Linked DNA regions of Elephas maximus indicus. The protein of the gene in region 1 purifies or fractionates together with the protein of each later gene. This does not show direct contact. Links are inferred from orthologs where the notes say so. Each region holds a gene or a part of one and is shown in the gene's direction. Other genes may lie near its edges.

The links.
Region 2: the proteins of TUBB (region 1) and ARL2 purify together in Homo sapiens (co-immunoprecipitation; 3 studies listed by BioGRID and IntAct, counting the BioPlex papers as one, with this or other methods). This does not show direct contact. The link is inferred for Elephas maximus indicus from reciprocal best matches to the Homo sapiens genes TUBB and ARL2.
Region 3: the proteins of TUBB (region 1) and HDAC6 purify together in Homo sapiens (affinity purification with mass spectrometry; 4 studies listed by BioGRID, with this or other methods). This does not show direct contact. The link is inferred for Elephas maximus indicus from reciprocal best matches to the Homo sapiens genes TUBB and HDAC6.
Region 4: the proteins of TUBB (region 1) and RICTOR purify together in Homo sapiens (affinity purification with mass spectrometry; 3 studies listed by BioGRID and IntAct, with this or other methods). This does not show direct contact. The link is inferred for Elephas maximus indicus from reciprocal best matches to the Homo sapiens genes TUBB and RICTOR.

The regions. Positions count from the first base shown.
Region 1 is NC_064819.1:91,028,891-91,036,783, forward strand, and holds the start of TUBB (tubulin beta chain), read left to right. Parts: upstream 1-4,886; 5' UTR 4,887-5,067; coding exon 5,068-5,124; intron 5,125-6,537; coding exon 6,538-6,646; intron 6,647-6,931; coding exon 6,932-7,042; intron 7,043-7,329; coding exon 7,330-7,893. UniProt on the Homo sapiens protein: Tubulin is the major constituent of microtubules, a cylinder consisting of laterally associated linear protofilaments composed of alpha- and beta-tubulin heterodimers.
Region 2 is NC_064825.1:128,183,969-128,191,844, forward strand, and holds the start of ARL2 (ADP-ribosylation factor-like protein 2), read left to right. Parts: upstream 1-4,859; 5' UTR 4,860-4,949; coding exon 4,950-5,014; intron 5,015-7,876. Other genes in the region: BATF2 (basic leucine zipper transcriptional factor ATF-like 2), read right to left, coding at 3,833-3,905, 4,618-4,637. UniProt on the Homo sapiens protein: Small GTP-binding protein which cycles between an inactive GDP-bound and an active GTP-bound form, and the rate of cycling is regulated by guanine nucleotide exchange factors (GEF) and GTPase-activating proteins (GAP).
Region 3 is NC_064846.1:122,834,879-122,841,892, reverse strand, and holds the start of HDAC6 (histone deacetylase 6), read left to right. Parts: upstream 1-4,008; 5' UTR 4,009-4,118; intron 4,119-4,382; exon of another isoform or gene 4,383-4,477; intron 4,478-4,552; exon of another isoform or gene 4,553-4,655; intron 4,656-4,707; exon of another isoform or gene 4,708-4,772; intron 4,773-4,824; exon of another isoform or gene 4,825-4,968; intron 4,969-5,306; 5' UTR 5,307-5,336; coding exon 5,337-5,429; intron 5,430-5,507; coding exon 5,508-5,636; intron 5,637-5,770; coding exon 5,771-5,859; intron 5,860-7,014.
Region 4 is NC_064820.1:44,835,960-44,843,772, reverse strand, and holds the start of RICTOR (rapamycin-insensitive companion of mTOR), read left to right. Parts: upstream 1-4,795; 5' UTR 4,796-4,855; coding exon 4,856-4,904; intron 4,905-5,079; coding exon 5,080-5,127; intron 5,128-7,813. UniProt on the Homo sapiens protein: Component of the mechanistic target of rapamycin complex 2 (mTORC2), which transduces signals from growth factors to pathways involved in proliferation, cytoskeletal organization, lipogenesis and anabolic output.

The DNA.
Region 1 (7,893 bases):
CCACACATGCATTAGAAAAACAAACAGCCCTAGGACACCTAGGCAATGAAGGGTACATGCAATGCATTATTCATACTTAACACCCAACCAGCCACACTGGATTATTTGAATCTCTTCATCTTCTCCCACCAAAATAAAACCACCCCCAGAGTCCAGGACTCTAGACTGAAACAATCAACTCAATTAGTCTCCTCTTCTCTATTCCCAGTAAAAAGGATTTTTTTGTGTCTCCTCTTATAACCCTCCAAAACCTCCCCACAAAAATAAAAGGCCTATACTGATACTAAGGAGCCCTGGTGGAGCAAAGCATTAAGCACCTGGCTGCTAACCAAAATGTTGGTGGTTCAACCTATTAGCAGCTCTGAAGGAGAAAAGACCTGGTGATCTGCTCAGATAAGATTACAGCCTAGGAAGCCCTATGGGGCAGTTCTACTCTGTCATATGGGAACACTATGAGTAAGAATCAACTCAATGGCACACAACGACAATACTGCTGCTTCAGCACCCAATACCCTCTGACCTTTTTCTGGTCCATGGGCACTGCTGAAGATATGCAGTCGCCCTAGGGGTTCCAAGTTGCTCCCCACAGATTCACTGGATCTCTCTGTTTCCTCCTCTTCTTCAGCCTCCCAGTCGATAACCTGGGTATCCTCCATAATCTGGAAGGGAACACATTATCATCATCCCCATCATTAGCTCATACACACAGTATTAGAGAGGAGACTGATAACTGGGGGTGAAACTGGATAGTTACGGAGGTTGATGATTTTCTTTCCGTCAATCGTTGTTATTATCCTCCTGAAGCGTTTTTCAAATATCTTTGATGACAGAGAGAGAAATATACAGCCTCTAGTACACAAACATAACAACGATTGTGAGCGTGGCGCAGGACCAGGGTAGTGTTTTGTTCTGTTGTACACAGGGTCGCTATGAGTTGGAACTGACTCAACGGCACCTAACAACACAGATACATGTGAACATATGTACTTCCTTACATAAACAAAAGTTTTGAGAAACAATACTTAACCTTAGTATGCACAATACGCTGATTATCTTTCATCTATTTTTTCTATACCACATATATCTCTTAAACGTTGACTTGCAACCTACTAAGTTGATTTCACTATCCATTATTGGGTCACAACCTATAGTTTGAAAAAGAGAATTTCAAAGGGAATTAACCTTTGCCAAACATCAACTATGTGTTGGGCATTGTGTTATGTGTCAGGCATCATAGCCATATGAGGTACGCATTTATGAAAGTAATGCTAAAAATATTTTTAAAAGTTGCTCAATATAACACAGCAGTAAGTAGAAAGGATAGGAATATATGTAATTCTGGCTGTAACGCCCATGCTTTTTACACTTTATCCTATCACCTCAATGTGATCACACTGAACTGCAAAGAATCATAAAACCAACCATCATGTAAAGATGCTTGCTTTATGCCAGTTACTATTCTAATTACACTAGCTGACTCATTTAACAGAAGAGCCCTGTAAGGTAGGTATTATTGTTATCTCCCATTTTTTCACATAAAGAAACTGTGACACAAAAGAACTTGCCCAAGATCACCCTGATGTCTCTCCTATTTAGTACCCTTTGCTGGCTTCCCATGTTCACAGGATAAAATAAAATCTAACTCCTTAGCAAGACCCTCCACGATCTGAACTTCATGTCCTGCAATGCCTCGCTCCCCCAATTTCACGAGCCTATAATTCAGTCACATGGGCCTTCTAATTAATCTCTGAAAACACAGTCCTCCTTGTCCTGCACACCTGCATGCCTTAGCCCAGCTTGCCTCTGGCCTTTCACTCTGAGTTTCCTGCTCCAACTCCTAATCATCCCTCAAGATTCAGTTCCAATGTCACAGCTTTCCAGTGTTCCTCCTGTATGTTCCGCAGCCTATCCAAACACTTCTCATTATAGTGTAACCATTACTTTCCATTTCTGCCTTCACACGCCCCCTCCAGGGCTGGACCAGCAGAACTGTCTTTTCCCCTAAAGTCCATCATATTCAACAGTAGTTATGGAGCAAAGTTTGCCGTCAAGGTATGTGGGACATATCCGTGAACCAAACATAAAATGAGCCCTGTCTTCATGGAGGTTACATCACTGAGCCTACTGGTAAAAGAACAAATGAAAGAAGAAGCAACTCAAAATAGCATGAGTGGGATTCACTTAGAAGGATGCCACCCTAGAGGGAAACTGGTCAGGTAGGGAAAGTAAGACGACCCCTGGATAGTGTCAACTCCATCCTCATGACCGGCCTGGCCTACGAGTCTTGACTCCAGTACACCAACATCTTCGATCCACAGCCCAAGTAGGTTCCGTTATGATCCAACGTCTCCCTGCGTCTTCATACCTAGAAGTCTGAGCTGGACGTCAGGAACGGATGAACACTGTAATCCCCGAAGCAAATGCCGAATGGTCTCCGCCCAGTCGCTCCCAAGGCACGCCCCTCCCGACCTCCGGGGAAAGGAGAAAATGGCACCCCGGGAAGCCGTGGGGGAGGCCCCCAGAACTCACCTACTTTGAGTCCCCGCGCGCGCCACCAGTAACGGCCGCGACCCGGGAGGCGGGAGTGCGTGTGCAGGAAGAGGACAGGTCCGCTGGTTGGCTCTTGTTGCTGTCCTTTACAGCTCTGCTGCACGCTGATTGGTAAAGTCTCCGCGCGGAGGCTCAGCCCTCCCCCGCCCCACCCCCGCAGTTCAAAAAGGCTGCAAGGAGGCTGAGATCTGTTGAGACTGTAATGGGAGGCTTCCGTGCGCCCGCAGAATAGAGCACCTCGATTGGGTAGCTCGAAGGGACAACCTACTACCGTTTCACCTCCCACCTCCCACTTCCCGCGCAGATTTCCAAACCGCGACCACAGAGTGCGACACCATCTTCTGGCGGCGGATAGAGGGGCTGTACCATAGACGTCGCCCGATGAGTCTGTTGCGGCCAGAGCGCCGTTCCTCCGTCCTCCTAGGCATGGTGTCTGCTGACTCATGAGAAATGGGTCGCGGGTTGCAGTCGTGGCTGCAGGCTGCAGTTTGGAGAACCGTTCGAAGGCGTGGCGCTTGAGGACTCCTCATAACAATGGAATTTCATTTCCTTTTTATTTGGCTTGTTTTATAGAAGTGCTGTCTTTTCCTGGGAATACATTCCTGACGGACATTTTGAGGTCATTTTCCTAAATCTCCCTAGGCAAACAGAGAGGACTGTTATGTATATGTTAAATGTATTTTAAAGGATGACCGAGGTCTGTCCGCAGCTTTCAAAGGGTGGGGGGAAGATAATAAAATCATTTTATTTCATTACCTCAAACTAAGACATGAAAAGAACAGTAACAATTTGACCTATGTATTATTATTATTTTTTATTATTATTTAGGCAGTCCTCTCTCATTTGTTACCTCAGTTAATTTTGACTACAACAATCAAATAGGCAGAAGTCAATTTTACAGACGAGGGAACTAAAGCTCTGTAGTTAAATGTCTTGCGTAAGTTCCTACAGCTAATGTAAAAAAAAAAAATGTTAGACGGAGTCAAATTGAAACAAGTTCTCTTAATTCCATGTTCTGAGCTCTCTCTACTGCCACAAACTTGTTTTCATTGTGATCATGCCCTAAAACATAGAATATCCTTTAAAAAAAAAAAATTCCACCTCAAGTGAGTAGATGGACATGAAAGGGTCTTACACAACTTGATGCTCCTTTATTTAGAAAGCGTCTGAGAAATGTGTGTTAAATTGAACGTGAATTAACAATGATGACCTTGCTATCATCTCTTATATTATGCTGCTTACCACGCTATTGTTATTACTTGTTTATTTGTTTCATCTAACTGCAAGGTCCTTGGGGTCAGGGAGCCAGTTCCTAATCATTTTTGTATCCCTAGTTCCTTGGTTTGGTGGACACTTAGTATCCATCAAATGAATGAATCTCCAGAAGGAGCATGCCACTCTGACCCACCCAATTTTCTCACACCGCTATTCACCTACCTCCCTTTTTATTTTTCAATTTTGGGACTCTAGATCAATGTGAACTGCATTAGGCACCTAACCCCACAGTTCCCTGTTAAACAAAAAGACCAAGGTGTCTTCAACAGTGCTTCAGGGCCCAGATCCTCTACATGGACCAAGACTTCTGACTTCACAGGTCCCAGATATCAGCTTCCCTAATCAATGAACTTATTCTTTGAACACACACTCCAGACAACTACATCTCTATTCTGAAAAGTCCTTGCTGCAATTTTGTTTCTCTTTTGAAATATCATTCGGAAACTCCCAAATAAATAGCAAGAGGGCAATCCCCTCCTGTTTCCAGAGGTATGTAGAGGAACCGTGGCTTACTGGAGTTCAAGCCTAGGTCATCAAAGGACCAGAAGATAGTAGCAAAGCAGGGTGCCGCACTTCTCCCCCGTTTTCGCTGAGGTAAGCAGCCCAATCTTCCTAAGAGCTACGGCAGCGGGGAGCTTTTCAGGGCGTGCCCAGCCCACCTCCCAATGCCTGGCACCCCAGACTTCCCAATTCTTGCATCTCCCAAAACTACTCCCCTCTGTACACACAAAAAAAGAGGAACAGAGGAAAGGGATCTTGTGCAAGGTCATAGTTTTTCATTAAAAAACAAAACACCAAAAAAAACCAGTACCCACCCTTTCGTCACCTCATTTTGCAGCGTGGACAACAATAGAGGACTACAACTCCCAGAGAGGACCGCGCGCGTCCCACTCTCGCGAAGACCAATGGGTGTCTGGTACATGACAGGCATCGACTAATCAGGGACAGACTTGATGAGGCTTTGTCTCCCGACCGCGGCGCGGGACCCAATCTCCCGCCCCCCAGCCCCCGCGCACGCGCGCCCCGCCCTGCCGCCTTCCCTCCCTCACCCTCCCCCTTCCTTCTTTCTCCCTCTCAGAACCTTCCTGCCGCCGCGTTCGGACCTCGCTGCTCCAGACTCCGGGGCACGTTCCATCCCCGCAGCCTGCGATCTGCAGAGCCAAAAATTATATATCGTTCTCTTGCCCCGCACACAACCGAGGCGAGCAGAAAAAAAAAAAAAAACTAAAATAAATTTTCATCATGAGGGAAATCGTGCACATCCAGGCTGGTCAGTGTGGCAACCAGATCGGTGCCAAGGTAAGGATTCTAAAACCTCTTAATATTTCTTTCAAGAAGAAAAATTCAGATCAGTTATGAAGGATGGTTGTGGATATTCGCGCTCTCCATCCGTAATCGAGCTTTGCAAAAATAAAAAGTGTGTGTATATACGCAGACACATTTGTAGCTAGAATTGCCTTTTGGAAAATGGGGAATTTGGTAAGTTTTCTCATTTTGGGTAAGCTGTTGACGGTTTGGGGGGCGGGAAGACGGAGGATCTGTAAGATTTTACTTAGGAGGGATCTTATAACGGTCCGAGGACGGGGGAGGGAAGAGACTAGCAAAGGGCTCGAGACAAAGCGAGGCGAGGTCGGCCCCATGTGCCTCCCGCCCAACCCCCCCGTGACTCGGGTTAGGACGAGACTGGAGGGGGAAGGGGCGAGGCTGGGCGGGCAGCTGCAGAGGGCAAGCCAAAGGTGGGGGGCGCGGTGCGCCAGAGTGGGCTGCTGCCCGTCCTGCACGAAAGATCAGGGACCTCGGCGCGCCCGCGGTCCCCGAGGGGCGGCTCCGTAGTTTTGCGTGGATGGAACGATAAAATGTATAGGGTCAATTTTACTTCCTTTTATTTCCTCTTTATGAGACCCTTTTAGGGCGTGAACAGATAGGAGACAGAAGGCGCGAGAAAAGGGGGAATAGGCTCGCTAAAAGGTCCTCTCGGGATAGTTGGAGGAAAAGAAAAAGAATCCTTTAAGGCAGGAAGGAAAAAAAACTATCGAAGGAATAAAATTCCAAAGCCGGGGGGGAGGGGGATTTTACTTTTTTTTTTTTGCGCGGGTTACAGTGTAGCGGGGGAGGGGACGGGGAGGAAGTGCGCTTGCTACGTTGTAGCAGCAGGGCGGGGCCCGGCGGGGGCGGGGCCCTGGCGCGCGGGGACAATGCGGCTCTGCCCGCCGGCGGGGGCGCTCGAGCCCGGCCCCGCCCCCCGCGCGGAATTCGCGCCCTCGGCTCCGCCCCTCCCACGCGCGACACCGCCCTTTGTCAGCTCCACGCGCGCGTGCGCGCGCCGCAGTCACGTGGAGCAGGGGGAGCGACTGCGGCAGCGGCGCGCTTCTTGGTCCCCGGTCCTTTGTGCATGGAGGGGCGGTGCCCGGGGGGGCGGGAGGGGAGCTTATCCGGTCAGCTCTGCCTCCCCACCCACTCGCCTCAGTGCCCATGAACGCCAGGCTCTCTCAGCAGCATATCGTCTCAAGTCCCAAGGAGTGGAGTTGAGTAAAGTATATAAATTGAGGTTCCTGAGGATGCGGGTGTTTAGGGAAAGGGCGTGGCAGGCGGAGAGAAGGGGTGCCAGGCTTTGAAACAGAGCCTACATGGTGCGCCTGGAATAAAATGGAAGGGGATGCATAGTTGGCTGGAACCCGAGCCAGCCAGGGGCTCATTGCTCTCCTTCGGCAGTTTTGGGAGGTGATCAGCGATGAACATGGCATCGACCCCACCGGCACCTACCATGGGGACAGCGACCTACAGCTGGACCGGATCTCCGTGTACTACAATGAAGCCACAGGTGAGGGCGTGTGCCCGCGAGGATCGGGTCCCATCTCCTCGCCCACTTCTCGGGGGGGGTTTCTTTCAATCTCTGGGGAATACCTTGTTCCTTTTGCATGAGTCCATCATCCTTTCCCTTTGGAAATGTTCCTCAATTTGGTTTCTTCCAACTTCTGGGGCCAAAGCCCAGCTCTGCTGCCACCTGCTTGCAGCGCCTGGAATCACAAGTCTGGGTCCCAGGCTCCCTCAACCCAATGCATTAGTTTTCCCTTCCAGTCAGTCGCTCTTACTCTTTTTCCTGTAGGTGGCAAATATGTTCCTCGTGCTATCTTGGTGGATTTAGAACCTGGGACCATGGACTCTGTTCGCTCAGGTCCTTTTGGTCAGATCTTCAGACCAGACAACTTTGTTTTTGGTAAGTTATACAGAAGAGATCAGTAGATGTAGTCTTATTTAGTTTGAGTATAAGGGGATAAACGAGAGTTAGAAGATGATGGTTTTACTGGAGAACTTACAGAAGGCTCTGATAGAAAGTGTAGGTAACAATTGTCTTAGCTGGTAGGTTCTAGAGGAGGATATATCACAGGCGAGGGTGGAGTAAAGATATCTCCAAGGGGGTTATTCCAAAAGTTGAAAGGTAGAAGTGTGCTCATGTACCTTCACACCTTCCTAATCAAGCTTGATTCCTTGACCCCATTCCAGGTCAGTCTGGGGCAGGCAACAACTGGGCCAAAGGCCACTATACAGAGGGGGCCGAGCTGGTCGACTCTGTCTTGGATGTGGTGCGGAAGGAGGCTGAGAGTTGTGACTGCCTGCAGGGCTTCCAACTGACCCACTCACTTGGCGGAGGCACAGGCTCTGGGATGGGCACCTTGCTCATCAGTAAGATCCGTGAAGAGTATCCTGACCGCATCATGAATACCTTCAGTGTGGTGCCCTCACCCAAAGTATCCGACACTGTGGTTGAGCCCTACAATGCCACCCTCTCTGTCCACCAGTTGGTAGAGAACACTGACGAGACCTATTGCATTGATAATGAGGCCCTTTACGATATCTGCTTCCGCACTCTCAAGCTGACCACGCCAACCTATGGAGACCTGAACCATCTTGTCTCAGCCACCATGAGCGGTGTCACCACCTGCCTCCGCTTCCCTGGCCAGCTCAATGCTGACCTCCGCAAGCTGGCAGTCAACATGGTGCCTTTCCCACGTCTCCACTTCTTCATGCCTGGCTTTGCCCCACTAACCAGCCGTGGCAGCCAGCAGT
Region 2 (7,876 bases), on another chromosome or scaffold:
GCTTCTAGACTAAGACAGGCTAGGAAGAACGATCTGGTGGTCTACTTCTGGAAAAGAAAAAATAGCCAGTGAAAACCTTATGAATAGCAGCGGAACATTGTCTGATATAGTGCTGGAAGACGAGCCCCTCAGGTTTGAAGGCACTCAAAAGATGACTGGGGAAGACCTGCTGCCTCAAAGTAGAGTCAACCTGAATGATGTAAATGGAGTCAAGCTTTCAGGACCTTCATTTGCTGATGTGGCACGACTCAAAATGAGAAGAAACGGCTGCAAACATCCATTAATAATTGGAACATGGGGTGTACGAACCATGAATCTAGGAAAATTGGAAATCATCAAAAATGAAATGGAATGTATAAAGATCGATATGCTAGGTATTAGTGAGCTGAAATGGACTGGTATTGGCCATTTGGAATTGGACAGTCATATGGTCTACTATGCTGGGAATGGTAAGTTGAATAGGAAAGAGGTTGCATTCATCGTCAAAAAGAACATTTCAAGATCTATCCTGAAGTACAACGCTGTCAATGATAGGATAATATCCATATGCCTAAAAGGAAGACAAGTTAACACTACTATTCAAATTTACACACCAACCACTAAGGCCAAAGACAAAGAAATTGAAGATTTTTTACCAACTTCTGCAGTCTCAGATTGATCAAACATGCAATCAGGATGTATTGATAATTACTGGTGGTTGTAATGTGCAAGTTGGAAACAAAGAAGCATCAGTAGTTGGAAAATACAGCCTTGGTGATAGAAATGATTCCAGAGATCACATGACAGAATTTTGCAAGACCGACAAATTTTTCATCGTAAATGCCTTTTTTCAACAACATAACCAGCGACTATACATGGGGATCTTGCCAGATGGAAAACACAGGAATCAAACTGACTACATCTGTGGAAAGAGACAATGGAAAAGCTCAATATTATCAGTCAGAACAAGGCCAGGGGCCAACAGTGGAACAGGCCATTAATTGCTCACATGCAAGTTCAAGTTGAAGTTGAAGAAAATTACAACAACTCCACAAGAGCCAAAGTAGAACCTCGAGAATACCCCACCTAAATTTAAAGATCATCTCAAGAACAGACCTGATGCATTGAACACTAATGACCAAAGACCACACAAGTTGTGTAATGACATCAAAGAGGCCATTAAAAGGACAGGAAAAGAAAAAACCAAAATGGATGTCAGAAGAAACTTGCTCTTGAATGCTGAATAGAAGAAATGATGAAAGAAAAGAGCTGACCAGAAGATTTCAAAGGGCAGCTCAAAAAGACAAAGTACTATAATGACACGTGCAAAGATGTGGAGCTAGAAAACCAAAAAGGAAGAACACGTTCAGCATTTCTTAAGCTAAAAGAACTGAAAAAAAAAATTCAAGCCTCGAGTTGCAATATCAAAAGATTCAACGAACAAAAATACTGATTGACGCAGGAAGCATCAAAAGAAGATGGAAGGAATACACAGAGTCACTGTACCGAAAAGAATTGGTCGATATTTGACCATTTCAGGAGAAAGCATATGATCAAGAACCGATGGTACTAAAGGAAGAAGCCCAAGCTGCGCTGGAAGCACTGGCGAAAAACAAGGCTCCAGGAACTGACGGAATACCGACTGAGATGTTTCAACAAAGGGGTGCAGTGTTAGAAAGTAGTCACTTGTTTATGCCAAGAAATTTGGAACACAGCTACCTGGCCAACTGTCTTAGTCATCTAGTGCTCCTATAACAGAAATACCACAAGTGGATGGCTTTAACAAACAGAAGTTTATCCTCTCACAGTTCAGCAGGCTAGAAGTCTGAATTCAGGGCGTCAGCTCCAGGGGAAGGCTTTCTCTCTCTGTAGGCTCTGGAGGAAGGTCCTTATCATCAGTCTTCCCTTGGTCTGGGAGCATCTCAGCACAGGAACCTCAGATCCAAAGGACGCACTCTGCTTTCTTGGTGGTATGAAGTTCCCATGTCTCTCTGCTTACTTCTCTCTTCTATAACTCAAAAGAGATTGGCTTAAGACACTGTCTAATCTTGTAGGTCTCATCAATATAACTGCTGCTAATCCGTCTTATTACATCAGAGTGATAGGATTTACAACACATACGGAAATCACATCAGATGATAAAACGGTAAACAATCATACAATTATACAAGGGAATCACGGTCTAGCCAAGTTGACAGATACTTTTGGGGGGCACAATTCAACTCACGACACCAACCAACTGGAGGAGAGCCATATTTATGCCTATTCCAAAAAAACGTAATTCAACAGAACGCAGAAATTATCCAACAATATCATTAATATCACATACAGGTAAAATATTGCTGAAGATCATTCAAAAGCGGTTGCAGCAGTATATTGACAGAGAACTGCGAGAAATTCAAGCCAGATTCAGAAGACGACATGGAAATAGGGATATCATTGCTGATGTCATATAGAACCTGGAGGAAAGTAGAGAACACCAGAAAGATGTTTACCTGTGTTTTACTGACTATGCAAAAGCATTCAACTGTGTGGATCATAACAAATTATGGATAACATTATGAAGAATGGGAATTCCAGAACACTTAATCGTGCTCATGAGGAACCTGTACAAAGACCAAGAGGCAGTTGTTGGAATAGAACAAAGAGATATTATGTGGTTTAAAGTCAGGAAAGGTATAGGTTAGGGTTGTATCCTTTCACCATACTTATTCAATCTGTATGCTGAGCAAATAACCCCAGAAGCTGGACTATATGAAGAAGAATACGGCATCAGGATTGGAGGAAGGCTCATTAACAACCTGCGTTATGCAGATGACACAACCTTGATTGCTGAAAGTGAAGAGGATTTGAAGCACTTACTGATGAATATCAAAGACCACACCCTTCAGTATGGATTGTCCCTCAACATAAAGAAAACAAAAATCCTCACAACTGGATCAATAAGTAACATCATAATAAATGGAGAAAAGATTAAGTTGTCAAGGATTTCATTTTACTTGGATCCACAATCAACACCCACGGACGCAGCAGTGAAGAAATCAAAGGACGCATTGCATCGGGCAAATCTACTGCGAAAGACCTCCTTAAAGTATTTAAAACCGAAGATCCTCCCTTGAAGACTAAGCCATAGTGTTTTCGATCGCCTCATATGCATGTGAAAGCTGGACAATGAACAAGGAAGACTGAAGAATTGATGCCTTTGAGTTATGGCTTGGTGAAAATATTGACTATACTACGGACTGCCAAAAGAAGAAACAAATCTGTCTTGGAAGAAGTACAGCCAGAATGCTCCTTAGAAGCAAGGACAGGGAGACTTCGTCTCACATACTTTAGACATATTATCGGGGGGATCAGTCCTTGGAGGAGGCCATCATGTTTGGTAAAGTAGAGGGTCAGCGAAAAAGAGAAAGACCCTCAACAAAATGGACTGACACAGTGACTGCAACAATGGCCTCAAGCATGACAAAAATTCTGAGGATGGTGCAGGACCAGGCAGTGTATCCTTCTGTTATGCATAGGGTCTCTATGACTTGGAACCGACTCAAGGGCACCTAACAAGAACTCTGCTAGAAGTCCCTGGATGGTACAAATGATTAAAATGTTCAGCACCTAATGGAAAGGTTGAAAGTTCCAAGTCCACCCAGAAGTGCCTCAGAAAAAAGGCCTGGCACTCTATTGCAAAAAGCCAGTCATTGAACACCCTATACAGCACAGTTCTACTCTGACACACAAGGGGTCACCAGGAATCAGCATTAACTCCCCATCAACTGTTTGGTTCCTTTGTGCTGTCTACTCACACTTACCCTATAGTGAACTTGTGGAAGGGCTCAAAATAACACACGAGACTCACCCTTCTGAGCTTACAATCTGCTTGCTTCCTGGCCTCAGTTTCCTCAGTTTTTCTGGATCTCTTGGGTACTAAACTAAGGGAAAGAACCAAACTGTTGGACAAAGTCACTCATTCAACAGCAACTATTTATTGAGCATCTACTATTTGCCAGTCACTGTGGGCCTCAAGAAAACCCTGGTTGTGTAGTGGTTAATGTTTAAGTGCTACCGCTGCTAACTAAAAAAGGTCAGCAGTTCCAAGAATCCACGAGGCACTCCTTGGAAACCCTATGGGGCAGTTCTACCGCCCTATAAGGTCGTTATGAGTCAGAATCGACTGGACAGCAGCGAGTTTTTGGTGGGCCTCATTTTTGTCATCAGCAAACGTGAGATTGTTTTTCTTCAAAGGGAAACCATGGGCTCAGGCGGGACAATTCTTGTGAGGGTCTGTCCCCAGCATTGCAGGACACTACCTACTATCCCTGCTTCCCACCGTCTAAACGTGGGGGAATCTTCCCTCCGTCGCTGAATCAACCCAAAACACGCAACCCCACCCCACCCCGCACATTTCCAACGGTCCCTAGGGACCAATACCGGCATTCAGGAGCCTGGCAAGGGGGAGGCCCAATTCCTGTTCCGTCATTGGCAAATTTAGGATGACACCAAGGCCCCAAAAGAGCGGGATCTGGACCACGTTTCCGGGTAACAGGCCCTTACACAGCCTCCAGGACAGCCCCAGGTCATGAGGCTCTCGCTTCTGACTCCTGGGTCCCCGGCTGGCCACACCTTTTTGCAGGTACTCCCTACCTGGCCAAGATCCAACCCATGAACTTCAGGTTTCCGTTCCCGGCCGAGTTTTTGGGTCCTGGGAGGACGGAATAGACTCGCCCTCGCCCCCAACTGTCGGCCCTCGGGACGCGAAGGGTTAAGGCAGGTGGCCGCGCAGAAGCCGCGCCGCCGCTAGAGGGACCCCAGCAGAGACACAGCGCGGCCGCTCTGAGGTCACGTGGGGCAAGGGCGGGCCCAAAAAGGGCTGGCCAATGGGCTGTGCTGTCGCTGGGCGTGATAGCCAATAGGAGCAAGGAGCGGGGATCCCAGGACTAGGAAGAAACGGCGGCCGGGAGGGGGCTGCTGGGATCATGGGGCTTCTGACCATTCTGAAGAAAATGAAGGAGAAAGAGCGGGAGCTGCGACTGCTCATGCTGTATCCTCCCGGACGGCGGAGCCGCTAGGGTAGTGGGGTCCCAGCCGGGGGGCAGTGACAGACGCCCCCTACCGGGCGCGGGGTGCGCGGCCGGCCAGCTCGTACCAACTGCCCATTGTGCGTCACGCACGTGGGCCCTACCAATCGCTCGGGCTGGGGCCGAGAGGAGGCCGTACCATCGGCTCGGGGAGGGGGGACTCCAGTCCAGAGGCCAAAGGTGTGGGCCTAAAGGCGCAGCGGAGGGACCAGGCGTCCCAAGCGTAGCGGGGCGATAGGGCCCGGAGGTGACTCAGACGTCACCGTCCGGAGGCCTGGCACGAGCGTGGGACCGCTGTCCTCCCGGCTCTGACCTCTTCCCCCCTGTCCGAGGGTGCCGGCCCCGGCCCCGCCCCCAAACTCGGAATCCCGGGGACGCGGCCCCGCCCTCTGCTCCCGGGGGGCGAGGGTTGGTTCCGCTGGGCGGTTTGCTTGCGGGCTAGACTGTGTGTGACACCCCGCGGCCCCTCGGTGTCCCCGAAGCTGAGGACTTGTTAGCCCCAGGGTCCCTGCATTCATTCACCCTACTCTGTGTGGCGCAGTGGTAAAGAGTTCCGTCGTTAACCAAAAAGGTTGGCAGTTCGAATCCACCAGCCGCTCCCTGGAAACCCTATGGGGCACTTCGCGCCTTTCCTATAGGGTTACTATGAGTCGGAATCCACTGGACAGCAGTGGGAGTTTTACACTGTGCCGGGCCACGTGGGGCATCTGAGACCCACTAGTTGGGCCAGCAGAGAAGTCGCTTATGCGCGCAAATAATTTAAAAATATGCCCGCCGTGTTCATTTTAAAGATCCCGGAGAAAGGCGCAGAGAATTCACTCATTCAAGAAATACGTATTTATGGAGCGCCTCCTGTGTGCCATGTTTGCTAGGTAAAACAGCAAAACAAAGTTCTGTCCTCTTGAATGTTATAGAATGCCTGAGGGGAGAAAGATGATAAAACAAATAAAATATTTTTTGTGGGGAGAGAAGAATGCCGTTAAAATAGGGTGAGCCAAGAAAGGCTCCTGGAGATGACGGGTGAGTAAAGTGAGGGGTGAACTGTGTAATTACCTGGAGAAGACTAGTCAAGGCAAAGACAAGGGCAAGTGCAAAGGGCCCAAAAGGAACTCAGCTGGTGCGTTCAAGGGCAGTGTGACTGGAGAGAATGAGCAGGGAAGAGAGCACTAGAAGATTAGGTCAGAGGTGTCTGGGGAAGACAGTCCAGGCAGGGTCTTGTACAGAGGAGAAGAGTGGTCTGACTTTGGCTTCTGTGTTGCAAATAGAGGACATGGGTTAAGGGCAGAAGGGGGAGACCAGTTAGGGGTCAATCACGATAATGAGAACGAGATAGGATGGTGGCTTGGATCAGAGTGGAATCATCATAGTGATGAAGTAGGAAGGTAATGAGAGAGCAGGCAGGAATTGCTCCTGGATTGGCCAACGGTGTGAGAAAGCAAAGTCAAGCCTGACTCTTGGCTTTCTGGCCTGAGCAATTAGAAGAATGAGGAGCCTAGCTGACAGAGAAGACCAGGGCAGAGCAGGTCGGGACAGGGATGGAAGCTGAGAGCTCACTTGGCCATGTGAGATGCCTCTGAGACATCCCAGGAATGTCAGGGAGGCAGCTGGGTTTTGGGACAGGTGACCAGGGGAGCAGCTGGGCGAGAGGCATCAATTTGGGAGTCAACAGCATAAAGATGGTATTTGCAGTCAGGATCCTGGATGAGCTCACCTAGAGGGTGAGTGTGACAGAGAAGAGAGTGAAGTGTACTCCGTCCAATCAAGAGATCAGGGTGATGAGGAGGAGCAGCCAGGAGATATGAGGAGGCCCCAGCGAGGACATGTCTCAGAGCAAGGGCAGCATGGGTCAGGGAGTGAGAGACAGGCAGGTCTGTCAGGTGCTGCTGGTAGAGCTGGAAGATGGGAACCAAGCACCGACCAGCCATTGGAGAGCACAGTGGAGGTCTCTGGGGACTGACCATGGCAAGAGCAATTTTAGGGAGGCAGAGGGAGCAGAAGCCTGATGGAAGTGGGCTCTAGAAAGAGCAAGAGGGCAGATTGGGGAGAGTGATGGAGGCAGCGTTTCGAGGAGCTTTGCTGTAAAGGGAAGGAAATAAACAGCTAGCTGGAGAAAGGAGAGGGAACAAGAGAAGGTTTTGTTTGCTTTTTCTAAGCGGGGAGTAACAACAGTGAGGTTGTCAGCTGATGGGAATGATCCCGTGTGGAAGGAATCATGGATGATGCAGGGAGAGGGGAGAAATATCAGCTGCCAGTTATCAGGGGCCGTGGCTGGGTTTCAGGGCAGGTCCTCTCATCACCCCATTTCATGGCTTGAGTCACTTGCCCCAGGTAAGGTGAGCAATAAGAGGCTGAGCCCAGGGCCTGTGTCCCTCCACACACACACACACGCACACACACACACACACCACACACACACCACACAGAGCTACAAGTCCCCGTAAGTGTTGGAAGGAAAGAGGAAGGTTGTCTCTCCCACTTGGGGAACTCACCATTCCTTTGCACACTCATTCAGCAGTAAAGGGTTTGGTACATTCCAGAAACAACGAAGAAAGGGTAGGTGCCCCCAGTTATTTGCTCCTGCTGTTCCCTCTGCCTGGAATGCCCTTCCCCAGTCTTTCAGAAAACTGACTCCTTGTAGTTCGGGCCTCACCTCAAGACACCTTCTCACAGAAGGTGACCTTCTCAGAGCCTCATCATTGGGTTTCTGAAGCTCACCAGCATCTTAAGTTTCTCACTGGTTTGCACTTTTTCAGCTGTCTCCTTGCTCAATTGTGAGCTGCCCAAGGGTGGGGACTTTGTCCTCTTATCTGGGGTGCCCCCAGCAT
Region 3 (7,014 bases), on another chromosome or scaffold:
ACCCTGTATAAGGACAGCTGTCCTAGCCTGCTATAGGAACCCAGCTCTGAAATGTCAAAAGAACCTTAGGTGATGCAAATGGTTAATATGCTCACGTTCACCCAAAGGCACCTCCGAAGAAAGGCCTGGAGATCTACTTCTGAAAAACCAGCCATTGAAAATCCTATCAAGCACAGTTCTACTCTGACACACATGGGATTGCCATGAGTCAGAGTTGACTCAACAGCAACTGTTTTTTGTTTTGTTTAATTATCAACAGGAAGCCTACCCTGATCCTGGACAGAAATACCAGCCCTCGCCTTGTATATGAACCCCTGTTGTCCACCATTTTGTCATCTGATGTGATTTTCTTATGCGTTGTAAATCCTACTTCTAGGCTGTTAATGAGGTGGGATTAATGGCAGTTATGTTAATGAGGGAGACCTCACTCTGCAGGATTAGGTTGTATCTTGAGTCAATCTCTTGAGATATAAAAAAGAGAAGCAGCAGAGAGGAGAGGGACATCATGTCACCAAGAAAGAAGCGCCAGGAGCGGAGCGTGTCATTTGGACCCAGGGTCCCTGCTCTGAGAAGCTCCCAGACAAGGGGAAGATTGATGACAAGGACCTTCCCTCAGAACCAACAGAGAGAGAAAGCCTTCCCCAGGAGCCGGCGCCCTGAATTCGGACTTCTAGCCTACTAGAATACGAGAGAATAAATTTCTGTTTGTTAAAGCCATCCACGTGTGGTATTTCTGTCATAGCACATAACTAAGACAGGAATCTAAGAAATAAAGCAGCACAAAAACACCTACCCTGTATAGGAACCTCTGTTCAGACCTTGTTAAACAACTTGTTATCCGAATCACCGTGAACACCTGTCCTGAAGCTGTACAAGAATCCCCGACCTAACCCTCTAGGAACCTAGCTCTGATCCCGTACAGAAATACCTGTCCTGAGTATGTTGTGATCATCTGGCCTAACTGTCTACAGAAAACCACTCTCCTGGCCTCTAAATGACAACCTAACCTTAACCTGTATAGGCAAAACTGCTTTTACACCCTTCTCTCTCACTTTATGATGTCTCCAACCCCATATTTTCCTACAAACCTGCATTACCATGTAACAGAGTTATTTTCCTGACCCCAGACAGGAAACACTAACTTGATCCTGTACAGAAACCCCTACCCCTACATAGTACAAGAATCTCTGTTCCAGCCCATAAAGCAAAACGAGACTAAAGGGGCACACCAGCCAAGGGTAAAGGACTGGAAGGCAGGAGGGAACAGGCAAGCTGGTAATAGGGAACCCAAGGTCAAGAAGGAAGAGTGTTGACATGTAGTGGGGTTGGTAACCAATGTCCCAAAACAATATGCGTACTAACTGTTTAATGAGAAGCTAGTTTGTTCTGTAAACCTTCATCTAAAGTACAATTGAAAAAAAAGAATCCCTGTCCCAATACTTTAAAGAGAATTCTCTACAGCAACACTCTGTCCAACAGAAATATAATGCAAGTCACATGTGTAATTTAAAATTTTCATGTAGCCACGTTAAAAAAGTAAAAAGAAAAGGTGAAATGAAATTTAATTATATATTTACTTTAAATACATCCAAACATTAACATTTCAACATGTAATCAATACAGAAAAATAAGATATTTAAAATTTTTTTCATACTAAGTTTTCAAAATCCAGTGTGTAGTTTACATTTACAGCACATCTCAATTTGGACTAGGCACATTTCAAGTGCTCAGTAGCCACATGTAGCTAGTGGCTAACACTGGACAGCATAGCTCTATGGAGTCTATAGAATTCTGTAGCAGACACTGCTATGGGCTCATCAAAACCTGTTCATTATCCCTGAGCTCATTCTATCTTTTCCAACCTCCCTTGCAGTTAGATGTGGACATATGATAGAGTTCTGGCCAAGAGAGTGTAAGCAGAAGTGTTACGCACCACTTCCAGGCCTGGCCCATAAAATCCTCTCCGGTAATCCTCCACTCTCTCTCTTGCTCCATTTACCAGCTGAATAGCAAGAACTCCGAGGAGGTAAAGGAAAATAAAGCCACTAAATGGAAGTTTCCTTGGCCCATGAAGGACCTGTAGTAAATATGCAGATTGGATTTTGTGTGAGCAAGAAATAAACATTTATTTGTTAAGGCCTCTGAGATTTTGGGTTTGTTACAGTAGCTAGCATAATTTATCCAAATTAATAGCAATTTCTTGACCTGAATCTGGACATGAACACCTAATCTTACTGTCTATATGAACACAAGCTCTGAACCTGTACAGAAACACCTCTTCTAACCCTGTACTGGACCCCCTGATCTCTTTGTAGAAACCTGTCATAATGCAGTCTAAGAAGCCCCATCCTGAACTTGTACAGGAACCCCTAGTCTAGAGCTCCCTAGGAATGTCTGTCTCATATTGCATAGAATCTCCTGCTTGATCCAGGAGAGGAACACCACTACTAAAACTATAGGAACCTCTGGGCCTTCCCTGTCCAGGAAGGTTTGCTTGACCCAGTAGAGGAACACCAGAAGTGACCTGGCCTTGTAAATGAACCCCTGTCCTCAAACCTAACAGAAAAGGAATACCTCTCTTCAGGCCACAGGGAACCCCTGCCCTCATCCTATAGAAGAATCCCAGCCAGGTAAGGAAAACCAAGGACTGATACTCTAAGCAGGGATTGGCAAACTATAGATTGCAGGCAAGGCCAGCTTGTAGCCTGTTTTTACCCTTTCAAAGGGTTGTTAAAAAAAATAAAAATATGCCATAGAGACCTTATGTGGTCTTCAAAAGCCTAAAATCTGGCCTTTACTAGAGTTTGCCAACCTCTGCTCTATAGGAACCTCTCTCCTGACTACAAAAAATTGGGCCTTGACCCATTCCAGACTCCCTACACTTTTATTTTGCAAGCATAACAACCCCAGAATGTTTCCCAGTGTGTATCATTGTATGTGTATTTTCTTTGAGGTTTAAAGGTCTTAAGTCTATGACTCTCTTCCACTGGTACAAAAGGCATGTTCAGATGGAAAAGAATGAAAGGCATGAAGAGGCTGGAAGTGGGGGGGGGGTCTTCAAGAGGGTCAGAAGGCCCACCTACTGGGCGGTGGGGCTGTCAATCTATTTGTTAGTCAGCGCTGCTGAACCCCAGACCGCTTATCTCTCTGGCCCCAGCCTGCAGCCCGGTAGGAAATGGTGGAGAATGAGAGGGAGATTAGGAGGACAAACCGACCTCCTGCAGAGCTGATATTTAGACAGGGGTGGGAGGGAGAGCGGGCCATAGGAACAACTCCCCCTACTCTCTAGGCACACAGGCTTTGTATTACAGCTTGAGTGCAGTTTACCCGGTGGAGGGAGGCAGATAGGGAGACCAGCCAACCATGAAAAACTCCGACTCCATTCTAGCCTCGGGCAATATTATTATCACAATTTTCCATATGAGGAAACTGAAGCACAGAGATGTTCAGTAACTTGCCCAAGGTCACATGGCCAAGTCATGTAACCTCAGTTTCCTTATCTGCAAAGCAGCATTAATAATGGGAAGTACCTCATAGAGTTGTGGCTAACAATGCCTGGTGTACAGTACTTGCTAGCGTTACAATTGGAAACCCGGTGGTGCAGTGGTTAAACAACTTGGCTGCTAACCAAAAGGTGGGTAGTTTGAATCGAACTCGGAGACCCTATAGGGCAGTTCTATTGTCGTATAGGGTCGCTAAGTCTGAATCGACTAGACAGCAACGCGTTTGGTTTTTTGCTTTTAGCCTTACAATTACTTGTCCCACTACGCCTCCCCCTGCGCCACCACCCATTTTCCCAGAATTTTAATAGCTTTTTTAACATTTGGTGTGTGCTTAATGTGTGCGACCTTAGTGAATATCAACTCATAGAATCCCCACAGTATTTATGATCATCATCATTCGCACTTTGGCCGCTACCAAACCGTCCTTCAGTTTCAACCCCACTCTGGGCCCCACTTCGGGCCCAGCAGCCAGCCCGCCCAAGCTACGTCATCACGGAGCGCCGCGCCGGAAGCAGCGGGAAAGTGGGAAAACGCCGTTGCCTAACTCCCTCCCTTCCCTGCGCTCTCTTGAATCTTTGCAAGGCACAATCGTCGCGGATCCAGAGGGTTCCTGAGGTGACTGGGCAGGGGCAGAGGGTTGGTGGCCAAGGCAGGCAAGCAGTAGCCGGGGGACGGGACAGCCTTAGCCTTGTATTGAACCGCTAGTGCTACTTCACGCAGGCGCAGCATAGACAGTTTCTCCTGCCTCCGCGCCGGTTTTGTGAGCTTGCGGAAGGTGTGGCCAGCGCGATGGGCGTGGTCTTGGGGGGCACTGAGGAAGCTGGTGTGGGCGGGATCTCAGCAGGCAGAGAGAACCGCCCCAATGGAAAGGAGGAGCCTGGGAACCCGCCGTCCCACAAGTCGCCAGAATTTGCTAGCGAGAGCAATGGGCGGGGTTTGAGAGGGGGCCGCGCCCAGTGAGTGGAACCGAAGCGGTTGGTCTGCGTCAATGTGGGGAGCGAGAAGGGGGCGGAAGCTAGCGGGAGGCGGCTCAGGACTGGCTAGAGGGGGTTGGTGTGGCGTTAAGTGTAGGGCCTAGGGCAGGGGATAGGGTCTGGAGGAAGGAAAGTAGTCCTCTCAGGGGCGGGACTTATTGAAACGTTAGGGGCGAGGGTAGGTGAATCGTTAAGCTTGGGATGGGGCAGTGGCTGGGTTTGGCTGAGTGAAAGCGTGGGCGATTTTCCCTGGAGATCGCCGTAAAAGGAAGATTTGTGAAGGGGTGGGGTCTGGGTGAGGCTTGTTGTTAGGTACTGTCGAGCCGATTCCGAATCATAGCGATCCTGTAGGGCAGGATAGAACTGCCCCATAGTGCTTCAAAGGAGCGGCTGGTGGATTGAAACTGCTGACCTTTTGGTTAGCAGCCGAGCTCTTAACCGCTACACCATCAGAGTTCCACAACCAGGACGAGGCTTAGAAGAATGAAAGGGTCTGGGAATGGGGGGCTAGGTAGAGTGGAAGGGCGGGGATTAGCTGGGAAGGGCAGGCCCTAGAAAGGACTGAGTCGGGAATTAATGGCTCAGTGAAAGGGCAAGTATTTGAAAGAGGAAAAGAGAATTGTGTAAAAGGGGTAGAATTTAGTGGAAAGGTGAAAGGGACACCCCAGTGGAGGGAGAGGGTCTTGGGAGAAGTGGAGTTTTAGAAGGCAGTGGGGAATAGGCTAGCATAAGGGATGGAGAATAGTATAGGAGGCGGGCCGGCAAGGGGAAGGATATTGGGTCCTCTGGGCACACCGTCCCTTACAGACAGTCACGTCTACTCCCCCAGGACCGTGTCAGGGGCTCAGTCTCTCCTACCATGACCTCCACCGGCCAAGATTCCACCACAAACAGACAGCGAAGGAGTAGACACAACCCCCACTCACCCTCCCATAACTCCAGCGTCATCTCGGTGAGGCCCCAGACCGGCCCCGGGGAGGGAGAGCCGTGGATTGTCCCCTGGACTCTGACCCTTCTTTCTGCTTGACAGAAGCGTGGTGTTAAAAAGGGTGCTGTACCCCGCTCCAGCCCTAGTCTAGCAGAGGTAAAGAAGAAAGGCAGAATGAAGAAGCTCAGCCAAGCAGCAGAGCAAGACCTAATCATGGGGCTGCAAGAGCTGGTGAGAGGGGCCTGGCCTGGATTTAGCCTCCAATGGCAACCCAAGACCCTGAGGTTTCCCATCCTGGACAGTATGGAATGTTCCCTCTGACTCAGGCTCTAATTGGATCTGTGTCTCCCATTTTTTCCCTGCAGGATCTGAACCTGGAGCCCAAGGCACTGTCTGGCACAGGCTTGGTGTTCGAAGAGCAGCTAAATGAATTCCACTGCCTCTGGGATGACAGGTGAGGCTGAGTCCTCTAAGCAGTCCCCAAAAACACATTAGCAAGAAGGAATTCTTTCTTAGGGCAGCCTGGAAACTGGAAGCAGATGATTTGGGGAGGTGGGGCTTAGAGTTAAAAGGGTTCCTTTTAGCACCTACTGTGTGCCAGGAGGAATCCTTGGGTGATGTAAACAGTTGTGTGCCAGGAGGAATCCTTGGGTGATGTAAACAGTTAAGTTCAGCTGTTAACTACAGGTTGGAGGTTTGAGTCTACCCAGAGGTGCCCTGGAAGAAAGGCCTGGTGATCTACTTCAAAAAATCAGCCATTGAAAACCCTATGAAGCATAGTTCTGCTTTGACACACATGAAATTGCCATGAATTGGAATTGACTCAATGGCAACTGGTAACTGGTAGTAGTATGCTAGGAGTTGGTGATACAAATGTGGACAAGATAGACAAGGTCCTCTCTCAGAGAGCTGAAAGGAGAGTAGGAGAGCTGATCATTAAACAGCCAATGGCAGTATGAATTGTTTAATGAAGGAGGACTTAAGACCAGGGGATTGAAGGGTATTTAATAGAGGACCCTAAGCTAGCATTCAGGGTTCCTGGATGGCTTCACTGGGGCAAGGACATTTATGGTGAAAATGAAGAATTACACTTCCCACAGACTCTACTTTCACCCTTGTTGTAATCCATCAGTAAATCCTTATTGGCTCTATGTTCAAAATATACATATTCAGTATCTGATCTCTCCACACCACCTCTACTGCTGCCACAGTCAGTAGAGGTGGTGTGGAGAGATCAGATACTGAATACACCTAGACTATTGCAGAGGCCTCCTCACTGGTTCCGCTGCTTTTGCCCTCATCCCTACAATCTGTTTTCCACACAACAGCTTAAAAAAAAATTCTTCAAAGGTGGACCGTTGCCCTCAAGGTAAAGTCCAAATTCTTCATCCTGGCCTCTAAGGTTCCACATGACTGGCCCCACATCATCTTTGTAACTTCATCAGCCACCATCCTGTCCCTCATTCACTTCACTTCACCTGTATTGGTCCCCTTGCTGTTCCTCAAACATGCCAGGTACCCTCTCGCCTCAGGTCTTTACTCTGGCTGATCCTTTCTCCAGAGATTCCTTTCTGTCTCCTCTTCTCCCAGCTAGTGCTTATTCACCATT
Region 4 (7,813 bases), on another chromosome or scaffold:
AGTAAACAGAGGGGCAGGGGACCTCATACCACCAAGAAAGCAATGCTGGGAACAGAGCACGTCCTTTGGACCTGAGGTTCCTGCACTGAGAAGCTCCTAGACCAGGGGAAGATTGATGACAAGGACCTTCCTCCAGAGCTGTCAGAGAGAGAAGGTCATCCCCTGGAGATGGTACCCTGAATTTGGACTTCTAGCCTCCTAGGCTGTAAGAAAATAAGTTTCTTTTTGTTAAAGCCATCTACTTGTGGTATTTCTGTTATAGTAGCACTAAACAACCAAGACAAGTACAATCTTAACCATTTTTTATTTCCTCTTTATGTTCTATGTTTGGGTGCATGCTCAGTTTTTTTTTTTAATGACACACAAATTTGATAGATTCACTGCTTAACAAGTTATTATTATAGTCAAATGTTTATAACTGCGATTTAGAATAAAAAAACAAATCAAGCCCACTGCTGTCGAGTCTATTCTGACTGATCGTAACCCTATAGGAGAGAGTAGAACTGCCCCATAGGTTTCTAAGGAGTGCTTGGTAGATTCAAACTGCCAACCTTTTTTTGGTTAGCAGCTGAGCTCTTAACCACTGTCCCAGCAGGGCTCCCAACACAATTTCTCTAGAATAGTTTTCCTAAAAAAGATATGCACAAGTGATACAAATTTATTTTAGAACAATTAAAATAAGAAAGAAAAAAATCAAAATTCTATTAATAATCACTATTAAACTTTTAATTCCTATTCTTCCAGATTTTATTTTGTAGATATATATGTATTTTCCTCTTCCACAAATTTAAACTTATTCTTCATTCAAAACTGTTTTTATAGAGGGCCTTTATACCTTACAGAATTTTACGACATGAAAAAAATGAGATTTGGGGACAAAAATTAAAATTTAAAGGAAATATACTAGGAGGCTACTTGCTTCTGTGACCAAGGCTGAACATTCATATCAACCCTGTGAGGGATTATAACATTTGTTTGATTTAGTCCACTGCCTGTCAATTTAATGGCCTTAACCTTAAACATGTGGTTTAACTATGAAAAGAAGTTACCAAGAAATAGACTGACCAAATTTTGTGGTTTTCGACTTGCTTTGTCTTCATATGTCCTATGCAACAAGGCAGATAAATTAAAGGGAACTAAGATTTTGGCAAGGCTTTTGTTTTTGTTCAACGTTATGACTGCATCCGAAATTGATATACGGTTTTTTAAACTTGAATTATTAACTGTGCCCAACAGAATAGTGAATAGAACCCAGAAAGTGATTTTCAATGGAGTCATTGTATCTTGGAAATCAAGCAGTTATCTTTTAGAGCTGTGGTCCTAGACTCAGTCTCATATGACTTTTTTTTTTTTTGTCAATGACTTATACTATGAGAAAACACATTCATTGACTCTGCAAACGAAACCTAGTTGGGAAATGAAAACTAAGAAGAGGAAGTAACATTCTCAATGACCAGATTAGAATCAACATGACCAGGGAAATTGGAGAAGTAGTATGAAGTAAACAAATGAGTAAGACATACACCAAAACCATACCAGTTGCCGTCATTCCAACCCATAGTGACCCTATAGAATAGAGTAGAACTGCCCCATAGGGTTTCCAAGGCTGTAAATCTTTGTGGAAGCAGACTGCTGCATCTTTCTTCTCCAGGGAGGCTGGTGAGTTACCAACCACCAACTTTTCTGTTAGTAGCCGAGCACTTTAACCACCGTACCACCAGGGCTCCTTGAGTAAGACATAAAAACCAAAAAACCCATTGCAGTGGAGTCTATTCCGACTCAGTTGAGCACCTTAACCACTGTGCCACAAGGGCTCCTTTGAGTAAGAGAAACAGTGGGCTAAAATAAACAAGTAAGAGAAAAAAGTTTGAAATAGAGGAATGCCTATGGGCAAGTATCACAGAAAATAACTTAGGGGTTTTAAGCAAATAAGCTCACTAGGATAAAAAAAACACAGTGGTATTGTTTCAAAAGCAAGCAACATCTCTAAATGTAACTTGTTGCCCTGGAGTGGAATCTGGGTAGAACTGCCCTGTAGGGTTTCCTACTACTAAAATAGGTATGTCCTTACACTCTTGTTTCCTAGTTGGGTGTCATTTGCAAACACTAAGAACTTTTTCTTTTTACTAGAAAATGCCCTTTACCTTAAGAGCAAATAGTAGAGAATTTAGCCACTCAAATGACTGAGATAGTAACAGAGGAAAAACTACTTTCAGTGTAAGACTGAAGAAAGGTAATTTTTTTTTTCCTGTTAGAAGAGATGGAGTAATTGAAAAATTATCTTTAAAAATGACATAAGTTAAAAAATGAAAGGCTATTGGGTTTAGGCTTTCGTATACAATATAGGGTCACAATGAGTTGGCATTGACTGGATGACAATGGGTTTTTTTTTTTTTTTAATACCTGAAGTCTTTAATAAAAAAGTAGATCAGCTGTACTCAATTTGCATAAAAAGCTGAAAATGAATTTAAACTCTCTTAGAATAGAGTTAATTTAGAATAAAAAACCCAAACCCACTGTCCTCCAGTCGATCCCGACTCACAGCGACCCTATAGGACAGAGTAGAACTGCTAGATATTAAAAAAAAAAATCAGATAAAAAGGGTTGGTAAAAAATCGGAACAGTGGTAGGAATCTGGTAGACCTTCCAGATACATCTCTACTTTCCTAAAATGGTGAAATGTGTGACACACGGAAGATGCAGTGCAAAAATTTTTAATGTCCTGGCCAAACCTTAAGTTTTGTGATTCTTGCCTTAGGCATTAACCAGAATAGTTTGCACCAAGCTATAAAAGAGGGAGCACATTAGTTGTTACTAAATTACAACTCACAATGTCAGGAACATTTCTTCAGAGCACTCTAACTGTATAAACCAAAAAAAAAAACCAAACCAAACCCATTGCTGTGGAGTCGATTTCGACTTACAGTGACCCTGTAAGACAGAGTAGAACTGCCCCATTGAGTTTCCAAGGAGCAGCTGGTGGATTTGAACTGCTGACCCTTTGGTTAGCAGCTGTACCACTTAACCACTACACTACCAGGGCTCCCTAAGTATATGGCATCCTTAAATAAGCAGCGGAAACTGAATGTAGACCTGGTAAGAGAAGGACCTGGAATAGAAACACGAAGCGTATTTAGTGTCTGCAGGAAGCAGTGTTTCTGTCTTATTTTCATGATGATACTACTCTATGTTGCTTTTACTTTTGTCTTTAAAACTTTTATTTATTTTAAAGGTAATATATATTAATTTTAGGACATTTAAAAAGTATAGATAAATAAACAAGAACAATGACAACAAAAAACCGCATCTGTAATTCCACAACTGGGGGAAGGAAAATGAAGTAACATTTGGCGTATAGCTGCTCTTGACTTTTCTTACGCACAGACATATATAACATCATACTTTATAAAATGTATTTTTACTTTACATTATTTTAAACATTGATAAAAATGGGAACATCTTTGTCATTTCTTCCTTGATTTAATATCAGGAACGTTATTTCCTATAAATACATGCTTACTAGTTTTACATGATAATGGCTGCCATAATTTCTATAACCAATTCCCTACCTTTGGTCATTTTAAGTGTTTCCAATTTTTCACTATTGTAAATAACGGCAGAAATTTCCAACACTGCCTTTAAAAGCAAGAAGGACACTGGAACAAGGAAAGAATCCAGGGCATTTACTCATTCAACAGGTATTTATTGAACACTTATCTGTGCGAGGCACTGTACCAACTGGGAGCTGGGAAAGAGCTGGTTAAGGTGTCCACCTTCAATTAACGTCCAGTCTCAAGGAAAACAAAGGACAAACACTTGAGGAATAGGCGGAAAAAACGCCTTTACAGCTGAGAAGAGAGAAACGCTTCCCTTTTCTTTTAAAGTGAATTCAGTTTTAAGAGTAATTTAAGCGGTCAGGGGCCAGTTTTATAGAATTAAAATCCTGACTGTTAATAACTGTTAGGTTTATGTATTAAATATATTAACCCACAACACCTACATTAGCCACTGTTCTAAGAGCGACACAGAAGAGTCACAGCACCCCTCCTTGCTCCTGGTAGGAACCCACCTCCTCGCGCCTGCCAGCTCGCGCGCGGCCAAGAACAATCCCACTGCTGGGACGATCCCCTTCTCCCTCCTAGTATCCAGGCGGTCAAAAAACAAAACCTCCACCCAAACACTTCCACTGGGAGAATCCCTCCCGGCTAACAGTGGTTTTGAAGCTCGAGTGCAAGGCCGCTTAGCACGGTGGTCAGTTGGAAGGTGGAAAACAAACTTTGTTACATCTTAACTTAGGTTGGAGCAAGGCGACTCTAAGTATGGATTTAAGTGAGGTTAAAACAACGCGCAGCGTTTGGCTTTTTTTGTTGTTGTTTTTGATAAAAATCGTTTTAATGAAAGAATAAGGAAGCGGGCTCGTCTACCCCAGGACGTGAGAGCAAACTGGAGCATCAGGCAGGATGGTTTCAGCAGGTGGCCGCCCGCCGCATCCCGGCCTCCTCCAGGCAGCTCGCCCCTGTTTTGACTGTACGGTTTCCACGGAAGCTACAGGGGAAGCATCCTCCACGCTGCCAGCTCGCATCAATGGGATTCCCCTCGTGGGAAATGCCCCCTCCCGGGAGACGCACTCTCGGAGAAGCAGACCGTCGCCGCGTCCTCGTCTTCCCGGGTGGGCAACGTGACCCCGGCACAGACACTGGGCCCGCGCGGCACTCCCTCCCCACCCCGGGCTAAGCCTCCCGCCGAGGAGGGGACGGAGGAGGTGCCGCGGGGGGCGGGCGCGGCGCGCGGGGAGGGGAAGGGGTTCTCGCGCGATTGGGCGAGGTTTCCGGTGTTGTGACTGAGACCCGTCAATATGGCGGCGATCGGCCGCGGCCGCTCGCTGAAGAATCTCCGAATACGAGGTAAGCCCGCTGCAGCCTTCACCCCTCACCGCCCGGCGACCACCACCCCTGGCACTTATCTCCCCCTGTCCCTGGGTGGGGGGAGCGAGCTGGGGCGCCGGACGGAGCCACGGCTACAGCCGCTGGCCTGCGAGCGAATCCTAATTGGGGCTGTGTGTCTGTGTGTTTCACGCAGGACGGAATGACAGCGGCGAGGAGAACGTCCCGCTGGATCTGACCCGAGGTAACGCGGGGCGCAGCGGGCGCCCGCGAGGACGCGCTGCTGGGGAGGAGCCGGGGCTGGGGGCTGGGGACCGGGGACCGGGACGGGCCCCGCACTGGACCGGCGGGAATGCCGGGGGCAGAGCCCGAGCCCCGCCTGCCGGCCCGCCGGAACCGAGCCCGGGGCCGCCTCGCCGGACCCGTCCGCCTCCCCAGTGCCGGCTTCCCGAACCCCGAGCCTTCCTCCCGGCCTCGGTGAACTGCGGGGAAGCACCGAACGGGACTCGGCGGGGCTGGCGACCCTCTTGGTTTTCTGGACCCCCGGGGGACGTTTTACACCTATCCTGGAGCTGGTGCAGCCGAATCCTGGGGGCGGCCGGAGGGAGATAGAGGCTGTTATTTAGGTTGCAAGAGGATGTTTGAGGGAAGAGAGACCACATCCTGCCCTCCCCGTCCCCAGGAGCAGAAGCCGGACCTGCTTGTTGTTGATGGCTGCGTGACTACTTTTCTCTTTGCCTACCGCCCTGGGGGACCCGCAGCACTGATAACTCGATAGTGAGACTTAGAGCTGGTCTTTGCTGCTAAGTGTCTGGTCTAAGCTGTGTTTCCCTCCTGCTTCGCATTCCCGGCCGCTGGGACAGTAGTTGGCAAAGACTGCCCCCTCAGCCAGCTGCAGGTTCATTGTTTACCTTCTGCAGTTGAGATGGGTTTGTTTACACCTCGGAACTGGGTAAACCCCGGTTTTAGTTTTTGAGGACCTAATTCTGCTACTAGCCAGTATTTCTTCTGTCAGTCGCTGTACTGGAATTTATTGGGTTATATCTCGTTGAAGACTTAAAAAGAAGACTTAGTAGTTGTATATAAGATTTTTCTTTTCTCTCCCGCAGTAAACTGACTTTGGTCTACTGATTCCAACGAAGTCATTTCATACCGGCGGTAGCTTAGAGCATAACCTGGTTCAGCCCCTACAGAAATCAGTTTCTTTTTTGAAATCTGATCGACACCTTCGGAAGTTAAAAGATAAAGTCGTTGTAAAACATTAAAATTTTTTTTAAATTGCCTTTTTACCCTATTCTGTAGTTGACATAGTTATTGTTATCTACAGTATTTCTTAGACATGGGCTCATTGTTGAGGCTCCTTGTACTTAAAGCATAGCACGTTCTTTTTAATTTCTTTTATTTTGTACCTCATAATGTAAGATTACTCTTTTGTAAACGAAAAGATTCCTTTTTTATTTAGCTACTTGAGTACCTTTTTGTAACTTAATATTTTATCCTGCAAGTTCAGGGACTTAGTTTTGGGTGAACTAGGTCCTTTTCCAGGCAGAAGAGTTTCTAAAATACCATAGAAAAAACCAAACCCTTTGCAATCCAGTCGATTCAGACTCATAGCGACACTGTAGGACAAAGTAGAACTGCCCGATACGGTTTCCAAGGAGTTGCTGGTGGATTTGAACTGCGCACCTTTTGGTTAGCAGCTGACCTCTTAGCCACTAGGCTACCGGGGCTCTGAAACATACTATAGTAGGGCTTAAGTAATAGAAATGGTGATTAATTAGTCACCAATTAAATTGGAACGTTTTTGCAGCAGATAGGTTTTGAGAATTAGTGTAGAAGATGTAAAGCTTTTGACTTTTGTGCAGCAGTGTGGCAACTTCATTATATAAAATATATGTAATGTACATACGAAAGGTATATTTATATTAACATATATATGTGAGAAAGATTTTCTAGTACATTTCCTTACAAAATAAACATAATTGCTACAGAGCTGAAATTTTGGCATTCCAACCCTGTAACAGAGGTATTTATTAGTGATTTAATTTATATAAGAGCATATGTTTTTTACGAGGAGGTGAAAGAGCATTTGTAGCTCTTGATTCCAATTTGCTCACTAAGAATGTACTTGGATATGGTGCTGAAAAGAAGTTCTGGTTGTGCTTTGAGTTGCATTTGCTGAGCTTCTACATAGTGGTTTCTCTGGTTGGTGTCAGAATTTTGGGTTGTAGAAGAGCTTATCTGCAAATTTTATTTAATACCATTGATTTTCTGTAATTTTATTCAACTACTTAGATAACTGTATACACTTACTATTTAAAGTGCTAAGCATTTCGTAAACACCTACTATGTCCATAGGTGTTTCCAGGATAATAAAAACAGAATAGAAAATGCTATTCCTATTTGCCCTGACAAAATATACTTCAGCTTGGAATAAAATTTACGCAGCCAATTGAAACTGATTGCAAATGCAATACAGTATATGACTAAGAGTGAGAGGTTATGTGAGAACTGTATGCCTAAACCTTAAGGAAGTTGAGAGTTAAAGAAGCTATCTGAGTTAGATGCATTATATAGTGCTACTTCTGTTTAAACAAATTGTTATTCTGACAAATATTGCATTGCTAAAAGAAGCCTTGTGGATATAACAAGAAGAAAGTTTATGAAGAACTAAAATTCACTTATAATTTGAGAACTGAGGGGCAATCTGGGTTGCAGCTAAAGGGCGGCTGTCTGTGGATTAGATTACAATGTGTAAAAAGATAAAGTTTGGGCAACCAAAACTTAGTGCTGAGGCACTGTTTGCTCTCATCTGATTGTTTTTATGTAATCTTTGAGAAATTCATTGTGTAGATAGCTAACAAACTTCAGTATAAAATAGAGATTCTAGTCGTTGTAACCACTGTAATAAGCATCTAGTAAAAGAGCAG